3 linked regions of the Mus musculus genome follow. The protein of the gene in region 3 interacts with the protein of the main gene of each other region in a pairwise test. Links are inferred from orthologs where the notes say so. Each region holds a gene or a part of one and is shown on either strand. Other genes may lie near its edges.

Evidence for each region.
Region 1: the proteins of Ttc19 (region 3) and Tcap interact in binary tests that used the Homo sapiens proteins (3 or more experiments, as listed by UniProt). The link is inferred for Mus musculus from reciprocal best matches to the Homo sapiens genes TTC19 and TCAP.
Region 2: the proteins of Ttc19 (region 3) and L3mbtl3 interact in binary tests that used the Homo sapiens proteins (3 or more experiments, as listed by UniProt). The two-hybrid records come from large-scale screens. The link is inferred for Mus musculus from reciprocal best matches to the Homo sapiens genes TTC19 and L3MBTL3.

The regions. Positions count from the first base shown.
Region 1 is NC_000077.6:98,382,324-98,385,497, reverse strand, and holds Tcap (telethonin), read right to left. Parts: upstream 1,688-3,174; 5' UTR 1,652-1,687; coding exon 1,542-1,651; intron 1,347-1,541; coding exon 953-1,346; 3' UTR 545-952; downstream 1-544. UniProt on the Homo sapiens protein: Muscle assembly regulating factor. Mediates the antiparallel assembly of titin (TTN) molecules at the sarcomeric Z-disk.
Region 2 is NC_000076.6:26,371,238-26,375,458, forward strand, and holds the start of L3mbtl3 (lethal(3)malignant brain tumor-like protein 3), read right to left. Parts: upstream 2,836-4,221; 5' UTR 2,464-2,835; intron 1-2,463. UniProt on the Homo sapiens protein: Is a negative regulator of Notch target genes expression, required for RBPJ-mediated transcriptional repression. It recruits KDM1A to Notch-responsive elements and promotes KDM1A-mediated H3K4me demethylation.
Region 3 is NC_000077.6:62,308,964-62,312,611, forward strand, and holds part of Ttc19 (tetratricopeptide repeat protein 19, mitochondrial), read left to right. Parts: exon of another isoform or gene 1-78; coding exon 79-230; intron 231-3,648. UniProt on the Homo sapiens protein: Required for the preservation of the structural and functional integrity of mitochondrial respiratory complex III by allowing the physiological turnover of the Rieske protein UQCRFS1.

The sequences.
Region 1 (3,174 bases), about 36 Mb from region 3:
GGTCTTCTATCCAGTCCTACCCAGTGTCCCTTCCTTATCCCAAAGGCCAGACACCCAGGCTGGGATGGGGATCATCACAACAGCTGCAGAGGTCACAGACAGGAACTTAAACCCTGTCCTCCCACCCAGGCCAGGGACAGTGGGACACCTGATGCCAGCCAAGGATTGATTCTGTCTGGATCTACAACTGACAGGCCTTAGGGTCACTGACCCCATCCACACCCCAAGGCACAGCCAAGGACGGCCCTGGTGCCAGCCCCTTCCATAACCTCCTCCACAGATATCATTTAAACAAACCTTGAAGCCAGCTGGCCTGCTAGACACGCTCCAGTGCCAGGAACTGGACATGAAGCCAGGGCTGGGCAGTGGCACAGGAAGGGGGACCAGACATTCCCCCTGTTTACAGCTCTGCCCCTGTACCCCACCCCTAAGCATGGAGTGTACCCTCTGGTTATGCCAGATTTAGCTCCAATGCTTGGCTGTTCCCAGAAGTGCACGGTGGACATTCATGCCCACCCCAACCACAAAGAAAGAGAGAAGCGTGGAACATGGCTGAGCATTTATTGCAGTGCTACCAGAGGGTGCTGGGGGCCTGCCCACTTCCACCCTCTTCACATCCCCCTCCTTTCCAGAGCGTTGCACATCCTTCTCCTAGTCCATCTGTTCCCGAGCAGGCCATTCCCAGGGGCCTCTCCTCTCACCAGGATCTCTTGTCTCTTCTTCTGGGGCTGAGGGTGCTCAGCTCTCCACTCCTAGTGCCCGCCATCCTCGCTCCCTTCCCTGTGGGGACTCAGGACACCTAGGCATCCTGGCCTCGGGCTCCCTCCTCCCATAGCTCCCACCTCTGGGCAAACTACAAAGCAGCCACTGCCAGCAGCTCTCCTCCATTGTCCTAGCCAGGAAGTGCCTAGCCTGAGACAGACACAGTGGAGTCTGAGTCACACAGTCCATCTCAGCCTCTCTGAGCTTCCTGAGACATGGATCGAGACAGGGTACGGCGCAGGGGCCCGGGTTTGCTGACTGGCACCACAGGGGGAAGCTGCTTTGTGATCTCAGCCACGTCCTGGCGCTCCACGCACTGGCCGCCCAGGGCCGTCTCCAGGGCCAGCAGCTCCCGAAGCTGGATGGGGGTCTCCTCGCGCTCCTCCTTGGAGGCCCCCACCTTGGTGGGCGTGAAGATGGGTAGGGGCAGCACCCGCTGGTACGGCAGCTGGTATTCCTGTAGCCCACGGCCGAGGATACCCAGGCGCATCACCAGCCATGGTGAGCGCTGTACCACCGCCTGACACTGTCCCTGCCGGTGGTAGGTCTCATGCCTCTGTGTATCCTCCTCGTGCAAGGAGCATCTGAAAGTGGAAAGGAGACAAAGGTGGTGAACTGAGGGCAGCTCTTCTCTGGTCTTGGGCTAAGTGGGGTCTCCCTGGCATAGCTAGTTCCCTGGAGCAGGGGAGGGGCCCCAGAAACTTCAGGGGCTTGTACTCTGATATGTAGCAGGTGCTTTGGGGGAGCAGAGGCAGAGCCTCCCAATGATTCACACTCACCCCTCTTCCGGCCGGGTAGACAGAGTCAGGTCTTTCCACTCAGCCCAGAAGGCTTCCCTGCGTTCCTGGTTCTCCTCAGACACTTGGCAGCTCAGCTCTGAAGTGGCCATGATTTCTGATTGCTCCCTCTGCTATGTCCTGCTCCTCCAGAGCCCTTTAAATAGCCCCTTCTTCCCCCTCTCCCCCTTCTCCAGGGGCTATTTTCAGCCCCTCTGGCGTCAGATGCTATAAGCAGAGCCAAGACTCACTGGTGGTGATGGGGCTCTGAGTCCGGGGCGGGGGTTGGGGTACCCAGATTCTGGTTGCTCCCAGGTCAGAGGTCAGCTTTCAAAGCCTGCAAGATGCTCTGTTGGGGACCTGGGTTCTCAGAGTAGCACCTCTGGGTGTCTGGCATGCTGCAAACACCACCTCGGACCAGGCACATGGGCAGCCTCGTGCCACCTTGGCACTGTCTTCCTCTGCTCCCCCCTTGCTCAGGGAGGACAGCAGCTTGTCTGTAAACAGAACAGGAGAAGCAGGAACTGATGCCCTCCTCGATCTGCCCCATGCTACCCGGATCGTCTCTCCTTCCTGAGCTCAAGGGCACATACCATAGTGAGGTCCCTTGACCAGAAGGATCACATAACCGAGTCTTCGGGTTGCCTGTACAGAAAGCAACACACCAGCAGGGGAGAGGACACTTCTGCCACACCCGACCTCTGGGTATGAGTCTGTGAGCTTTCATTCCTCAGGGCCAATCATTAGAGAAGTGTTCTCCTAAATCCCACCAGTCGGGGTGAAGGAGGTAAGAGTGGGGGAGGTGGCCCCTTCTCCTCTGCCTGCATGGAGAGAAACACTGTGAGACAGAAACAGAGAAAGCCCATTGAACAGGGTTAGGAGATCCAGACCAGCCTCAAGCTGGCTCTATTTTATATAATCATGGAGCAGTCTCTACCCCTTTCCAAGTCTCCCTTTATCTGCTTTTCTTTCTCTTTCTTCCTTCCTTCCTTCCTTCCTTCCTTCCTTTCTTTCTTTCTTTCTTTTTTTCCTTCTTTCTTTCTTTCTTTCTTTCTTTCCTTTCTCTTCCTTCCTTCCTTCCTTTTTTCTTTTTCTTCCTTCCTTTCTTCCTTCCTTTCTTTTTTTCCTTCCTTCCTTTTCTCTCTCTCTCTCTTTCTTTCCTTCCTTCCTTCCTCCCTTCCTTCCTTCCTTCCTTTCTTTTCTTTCTTTTTAAAAAGATTTTATTTAATTAAAGTATATGAGTACACTGTCATGTCTCAGACACACCAGAAGAGGGCATCAGATCCCATTACAGGTGGTTGTGAGCCACCATGTGGTTGCTGGGAATTGAACTCAGTGCACTTAACTGCTGAGCCATCTCTCCAGTCCCTTATCTACTTTTCTAGCCACGGTGGAATGAACTCTGGGACTGGGCAGTTCCACTGCTTCACCTGGGAGGGGACTAGCTCGCTCAGGCTCTCTCTCTCTCTCTCCCTCTCTCCCTCTCTCTCTCTCTCTCTCTCTCTCTCTCTCTCTCTCTCTCCCTCTCCCTCTCCCTCTCTCTCTCTCTCTCTCTCCTCCCCCTCAGCAGAGGAAAACAGATGTCAAGAGATCCCCCAAGCACCCAGAATGTAATTCAATTCATGGTACAAGAAGT
Region 2 (4,221 bases), on a different chromosome or scaffold from region 3:
CACACACACACACACACACACACACAAAACCAAAAACAAAAAAAAGAATACAGTAATGGTTGAGTGGTAGTGGCACACACCTTTAATCCCAGAATGCCTGAGGCAGAGGTGGGTGCATCTCTGTGAGTTGGAGGCCAACTTGGCCTACAGGGAGAGTTTTAGGACAACCAGGACTACACAGAGAAACCCTTCATTACCCGTCTCCTCCCCCAAAATCTAGTAACAAGGAACTGGGAGAAGGCAAAGTCAATAAAGAGACAGCCAAGAAAGCACAAAGACCCGAGTTCAGATTCCCCAGCACTTCCCTAAATCCCTAAATCCCGGAGCGCTCTCCTCTGTAACCTGAGCACTGGAGGGAGGGCCTGCAGCTCACTGGCCAGCCAGTCTAGCCAATCAGTGAGCCAGGTTTGGAGAGAGGGAGGGGGGAAAAAAGGATGACTGGGAGCAGAGCAGGAAAGCTTGTAACTGTAACAACTCAAGCTGGTCTCTGGCCTCCCATGCAACCATACCAAAGGCACACATACGCTACGGGACACTCCTTTTTGCCCAATGCTTCTTTCACCTTTTCAAGCACGCCTACTGTCTACTTGTTCAAACATTCAAAGCAGTTCCCACAAACTTAAGTTTTGTTGTTGTTTTCCTTTCTACTAACCCTGTCACACACTCTCTTTAATTTCCAGCTGCACTGGAAACCAAGTGTCCAGTGAAAGACATCTGTCTGGTGACCTTCAGAACTGCTGTGTACCCCCAAGACTTCTTTTAAGGATCTAGCATTGATTATATTGGAGGAAAAGGAAAACAAACAAACAAACAAACAAACACCCTCAAAGCACTCTCATAAAGCCCTCGCATCCATAATATACAATTCAAACTCAACACCCATCACACCACACTGCACTGTGTATTCAAATTAACTAGGTACATGTAAGGTGAAATTAATTTTAATCACTCACATCATTCCCGTACTCTAAACCACATAATAAAAATTCCCATTGTAAATAAGACTGTTACCCAAGCACCAGGAGGGAAATACAAATTCAACTCCAGCCTGAGCTACATAGATGGATGGACCCTGTCTCTTTCACTGTGACGGACAGGTGGTAATTACAAGAATGATTCTATACAACCTTAATCCCTCCTGTTTTTATCCTTAAAATTCAATGTTTTTTTTTTAAATACAGAATACACACTGGGAAATAGTTATGTAACCCATGCATATATAAAGTGGTTTAAATCGTAAATTATACAAAGTATACTGAAATAAATGTTTTTACTCAGTGAATCAAAATTACACCGTTACGAGAAGATACTATGTATTTTATGAGTATATATTATGTAAGTTTATACGTAAATTGTTGAATAATTTGTTAGCCTGAGATTATATGCATCAGAGACACATACAAAATGATCAGTTCATATAAAAGCTAATTTCAGGTTTGTTTTTTTTTCAGTTTTTTGCAAAGTGCTAAGCACAGGTTTCATTTTGACTTTTCCTTAACATTCCGAATTAAGCTACCTGCTATGAGTCGTAAGAGGGGAAATAAAAAAAAAAAAAAACGGAGGTACAGATGATGGTAAACAGAAGACAAACTTTCTTATCTAGGGAGTGTCAATCTCAAATCTCAGAATAAAAAGCTTTGGTTTTCTTACTGTATGCAAGAAAGGATGGAAATCACAGGGTCCGCAAGCTTAGACGTCATTGTTCTCTGATTTACAAAACTTCTATTTCGGACTAGCATCCTTTCTCACATCTGGCTGCAACTCAGGTCTTCTAATTACTTCCACGTCTAAACGGACTGCATGTAGCTACAAGTAAAGGCCAAACTTTGGTCTTGTCTCTCGAACTTAAGATGCGTTTAACCACTAGAGGTCCCCCCTTGGCCAGTTTTGCAGGCTCACTATTTTGCTGCACTTGAAACTTTCCGGCTCTCTACTCGAGTCAGTGTTTTTCTAAAAACTTGCGCAAAAATCCACGCAACCGAGGTAGCCAGTACAGAGCTTCCCGGGCTCCCCACACCAATAAAGGCATCATAACCAACCACCTACGAAAATTGAAATGAAAATTCAACTCACTCATCCCAGGCGACGCACCTCCCCCCCCCCCCCACACACACACACACTCAAACCGGTTTCTTATTTCTCGTCTCAGTTTCCCTTAACTTAGAACAATTCTTTAACATCTATTTTTGTTCCTGGGCACTTTGGATGATCTTAAATGCATGCTTTTGGCGGTAGCCCCAAGGTGGCAAAGGAGCGGGCCAAGGGATGCAGAAGGCGGGGGGGATGGGCCCAGCAAACTGCGCCCGAGAAAGTTGCATAAGGAAAGAGACTCCGTTTTTCGGGTCCCCCCCCCCTAAAAAAACAAAAAAAAGAAGAAAAATAAATCAGCGGGGAAAGGAGAGGAAAAGGAAGCTGGGCGGTGGCTGCAGGAGGACAGAGAAGGAAAAACCAAAGCGAGTTTACCTTCGTGTCCCCGTGGAAGGGTGGGGCAAGAGCCCTGACCCACGCGACCCGGCAGTGCGGCTGGATCTCCCACCCGTTTGGTCGGAGCGCGGACGGACAGACAGACACCACGGCCGGACGCGAAGAAAGCCGCCACGCTGGTCAACTTTCTCTCACGGCCCCGCGGTGGGCCGTGATCGGATCAGATCCGATCGTGAGGTTCGGGTCCTAGAAACCCCCACACACATGCACTTTTTTGCCTTTTGGATTTTTTTTTCCTTTTCTCTTTTTCCCTTTTTCTATTCTCCCAAGAAGGCGATTAAAGTTTTCCCTCCGCCAGTGCGCCCCTGGCCCCGCCGCTCTCAAGTTTGCCTCCTCCTCCGGCCGGCGGCTGGCTGGCTGGCGGGGCGCGCGGCGGATGCCTCCGCTCCTGCGCTTCCCGATCCCCACCCCCGCCGGCCTCTACTTCCCCCGCCCCGCCGCCGCTGCGCGAGGCCGGCCCCGCCGGGCCCAGGACGCGAGCGTGGACCAGACAGTAGCCCATGAGCGCAGATCGGCGCACGCACGGGTGGCGAGGCGGACCCCGGCCGCCGGCCTCGGCCACCCGGGGCGGCGGTAAACAAGTTGCAGGCTCCACGGCCCCCGCCGCAGCCCGCCACCGCCTCGCCTCGCCTCGCTCGCACGCCCGCGCCCGCACCGGCGGCGCTGCGCGGAGAAGATCGCCGCGACGGTGCGGGTGCCCGGCCCGGCCCCGCGTCCTCCACCCCGCGGGGACGGCAGTGTCGAGCCCGCGCCGCCGCGTTCCCTAAAAGCACTTTCCTGCTTCCAGCAGGAGGAAAAAAAAAAAAAAAATCCAGCGGAGGCTTTATTTCTTTCTTCTTCTTCTTCTTCTTTTTTTTTTTCCGTGCAACTTTCCCAAAATGGCGGAAATTGGAGGCGATCTCTAGGAAATTCTCCCACAGTCGGCGGCGGGGAGCGGGGAGGTGGCGAGCGGGGAGAGCACACACGCAAACTCTCGGCCGCCGGCCCCGCCGCGGCTCGGGTGTGCGTGCGGGTGCGGGTGCGTGTGCGCGGTGCGAGTCGCGGAGGGAGGCCTCTCGGCGCGCGCTCACACTCACACCGACACACACTCACCGACACATACACAGACACACACAGCCACAGAGACACACACTCACACACACATACACACACACACACATACACACTCACACACATACACACACACACACACACACACACACACACACACACACGGCCGCGCCAGCGAGACGCGCCTCTGCCACATTCAACCAGTCGGTTCTCCGCAGCCGAGCTGGCTGGCGAGCAAAGTGGCCCGGCCTCTTTTCCCACTGCCTCGGTCTCCCGTACTTGGACTTGTCGCGCTCGCCCGCCCGCCCGCTCGCTCGCCCGCCCGCCCGCTCGCTCACCCGGTGCGCGCTCGGCACAAAGGCCACACGGGCGGAGGGGGCCGCAGGGGCGGCGCGCCGGGGCTCGCGTCCTCCCGCCGCCGCACCGATCGTGCCCGCGGTCCCCTCCCGAAGCCGCCCCCTCCCCCCCTTAGGCTCAGGCCGACCGCGCTCGGCGCCCCCGGGGAGGCTGCGGCTCCGCCGCGTTTCCCCCCCACCGCCGCCCCGGACTCGCAGCCCCGCGGTGCCGCGCTCCCCCCCCCCCCCCCAGCGCCGCCACCCAGCACCCGGTGTCAAAAAAGCGACCAAAGTGACAAGCTCCGGGCGGGGGGAGGGGGCCCACACGCATCCCGCTGCCTGCGCGCGGGCG
Region 3 (3,648 bases):
TGAAGTACAGTGGCTTGCTTTTTGACCTTTGTATATAACTTCTATTACATCCTTGCAACGCTTTTATTTTTCTTTTAGAAGAAACAGCCAATACTTACCTCCTCCTTGGTATGTGCTTAGACTCTTGTGCACGCTATCTGCTATTCTCCAAGCAGCTATCACAGGCACAAAGGATGTATGAAAAAGCCCTGCAGATTTGTCAAGAAATACAAGGAGAAAGACACCCACAGGTAAGAGATGAAACAGTGTATGTAAGCCAGGCCTGCCCGGTGGCACAGGTACTCTGTAGAGGGTCATAAGGTCACAGGTTCAAGGGTGCTGGGCAAAGTTGGTGAGCTCCCATGCCAAAGGGCTGGGGGCGTATTTCAGCTTGCATGGCACTGGTAAAGTTCTACATTCAGTGACTAGCATCAGTTATGGGTGTGGCAAGACATGGTTAGCCATGTGAAATGTCATAAGGAATGCAGGTTGATATCCAGATGTATGGAATCCTGCCACTCCCCGGTCTGTTCATTTTTTTTCCACCAGCTTTCACTACTCCCAACTACTTGTTTCAGGAAGGGTTTGAGATTGCTGACTAAGTCACTGGCACTGCATAGGCCCTTTTCTGAGTCATGGTTTATACAGTAGTCTTTGTACAAGGCAGACTTTTAACCCAGGGGCTTCAGAATATGTAGCCTCATGTTTACAGTGGTTTGTAGACTCTTAGAATCTTTTTTTTCTTCCTCCTGGAGCTGGGGACTAGACCCAGGGGCTTCTTCCATACCAATCAGAACCTTGCAAGTAACTATTTAGTTCATATAGAAGTATCTTTTTCTCCTGGGTAACTGGGAGGTGAGGAAGTAGAGATTTTTGAATTTGGGATGGGGCAGGGAGAGGGGGGCAGGACTAGAGATTAAAACTAGGACCTCATAAATTCAAGGCAAGGGCTCTACCACTGAGCTGTGGCCATAACTTATAAAAACACTATTAAAAGCAATATATAGCAAACCAGTAGCCAACATTAAACTAAAGGGAGAGAAACTTGAAGTAGTCCCACTAAAATCAGGGACTAGACAAGGCTGCCCATTTTCTCCCTACCTATTCAATATAGTACTTGAAGTCCTAGCCTGAGCAATTAGACAACAAAAGGAGATCAAGGGGATACAAATTGGAAATGAAGAAGTCAAAATATCACTATTTGCAGATGATATGATAGTATATATAAGTGACCCTAAAAATTCCACCAGAGAACTCCTAAATCTGATAAACAGCTTCAGTGCAGTAGCTGTATATAAAATTAAACCAATGGCCTTTCTCTACACAAAGGATTAACACACTGAGAAAGAAATTAGGGAAACAACACCCTTCACCATAGTCACAAATAATATAAAATACCTTGGCGTGACTCTAACTAAGGAAGTGAAAGTTCTGTATGATAAGAATTTCCAAGTCTCTGAAGAAAGAAATTGAAGATTTCAGAAGATGGAAAGATCCCATGCTCATGGATTGGCAGAACTAATATAGTAAAAATGGTTATTTTGCTGAAAGCAATCTACAGATCAATGCAATCCCCATCAAAATTCCAACTCAATCTTCACTGAGTTAGAAAGGGAAATTTGCAAATTCATCTGGAATAACAAAAAAACCTAGGATAGCAAAAACTATTCTCAACAATAAAAGACCCTCTGGTGGAATCACCATGTCTGACCTAAAACTGTACTACAGAGCGACTGTGATAAAAACTGCATGGTACTGGTACAGTGACAGACAGGTAGATCAATGGAATAGAATTGAAGACCCAGAAATGAACCCACACACTTATGGTCACTTGATCTTTGACAAAGGAGCTAAAACCATCCAGGGGAAAAAAGACAGCATTTTCAACAAATGGTGCTGGCTCAGCTGTTGGTTATCATGTAGAAGAATGCAAATTGATCCATTCTTAACTCCTTGTAGAAAGCGCAAGTCTACGTGGATCAAGGAGCTCCACATAAAACCAGAGACACTAAAACTTATAGAGGAGAAAGTGGGGAAAACCCTCAAAGATGCGGGCACAGGGGAAAAATTCCTGAACAGAACAGCAAAGGCTTGTGCTGTAAGATCAAGAATTGACACATGGGACCTCATAAAATTAGTTTCTGTAAGGCAAAGGACACTGTCAACAAGACAAAAGGGCCACCAACAGATTGGGAAAGGATCTTTACCAATCCTAAATCAGATAGGCGACTAATATCCAATATATATAAAGAACTCAAGAAGCTGGACTCCAAAAAAATCAGAAAAATGGGGTACAGAGCTAAACAAAGAATTCTCAACTGAGGAATACCAAATGGCTGAGAAGCACCTGAAAAAATGTTCAACATCCTTAATCATCAGGGAAATGCAAATGAAAACAACCCTGAGATTCCACCTCATACCAGTCAGAATGGCTAAGAGCAAAATTCAGGTGACAACAGATGCTGGCAAGGATGTGGAGAAAGAAGAACAAATCCTCCATTGCTGGTAGGATTGCAAGCTGGTACAACCACTCTGGAAATCAGTCTGGCGGTTCCTCAGAAAATTGGACATAGTACTACCGGAAGATCCAGCAATACCTCTCCTGGGCATATATCCAGAAGATGTTCCAACTGGTAATAAGGACACATGCTCCACTATGTTCATAGCAGCCTTATTTATAATAGCCAGAAGCTGAAAAGACCCCAGATGTCCCTCAACAGAGGAATGGATACAGAAAATGTGGTACATTTATACAGTGGAGTACTACTCAGCTATTGAAAACAATAAATTTATGAAATTCTTAGGCAAATGGATGGTTCTGGAGGATATCATCCTGAGTGAGGTAATCCAATTACAAAAGAACTCACATGATATGTACTCACTGATAAGTGGATATTAGCCCAGAAATTTAGAATACCCAAGATTCAATTTGCAAAACACATGAAACTCAAGAAGAAGGAAGACCAAAGGGTCGATACTTCGTCCCTCCATAGAATGGGGAACAAAACACCCATGGAAGGAGTTATAGAGACAAAGTCTGGAGCTGAGATGGAAGGAAGGACCATCCAGAGACTGCCCCACTCAGGGATCCATCCCATAAACAGCCACCAAACCCAGACACTATTGCATATGCCAGCAAGATTTTGCTGACAGGATCCTAGATAGCTGTCTCTTGTGAGGCTATGCCAATGCCTGGCAAACACAGAAGTGGATGCTCACAGTCATCTATTGGATGGAACACAGGGCCCCCCAATTGAGGAGCTAGAGAAAGCACCCAAGGAGCTGAAGGGGTTTGCAACCCTATAGGTGGAACAACAATATGAACTAACCAGTACCCCATGAGCTTGTGTCTCTAGCTGCATATGTGTCAGAAGCTGGCCCAGTCGGCCATCACTGGAAGGAGAGGCCCATTGGACTTGCAAACTTTATATGCCCCAGTACAGGGGAATGCCAGGGCCAGGAAGCAGGAGTGGGTGGGTTGGAGAGCAGGGTGGGGGGGATTAATACAGACTTGAGATCATCTCTACTTCTTCTTGCAAAAACCATTCTTGAGGTAGGAGTTGACTGCTCTGTTTGATAACTGTAGTCCACCAAGTAAACAAATTAGACTGAACATGGAATATTTAGGACTAAATGCAGAGAGCCTGATGCATGTCGTTGGGGAATAGT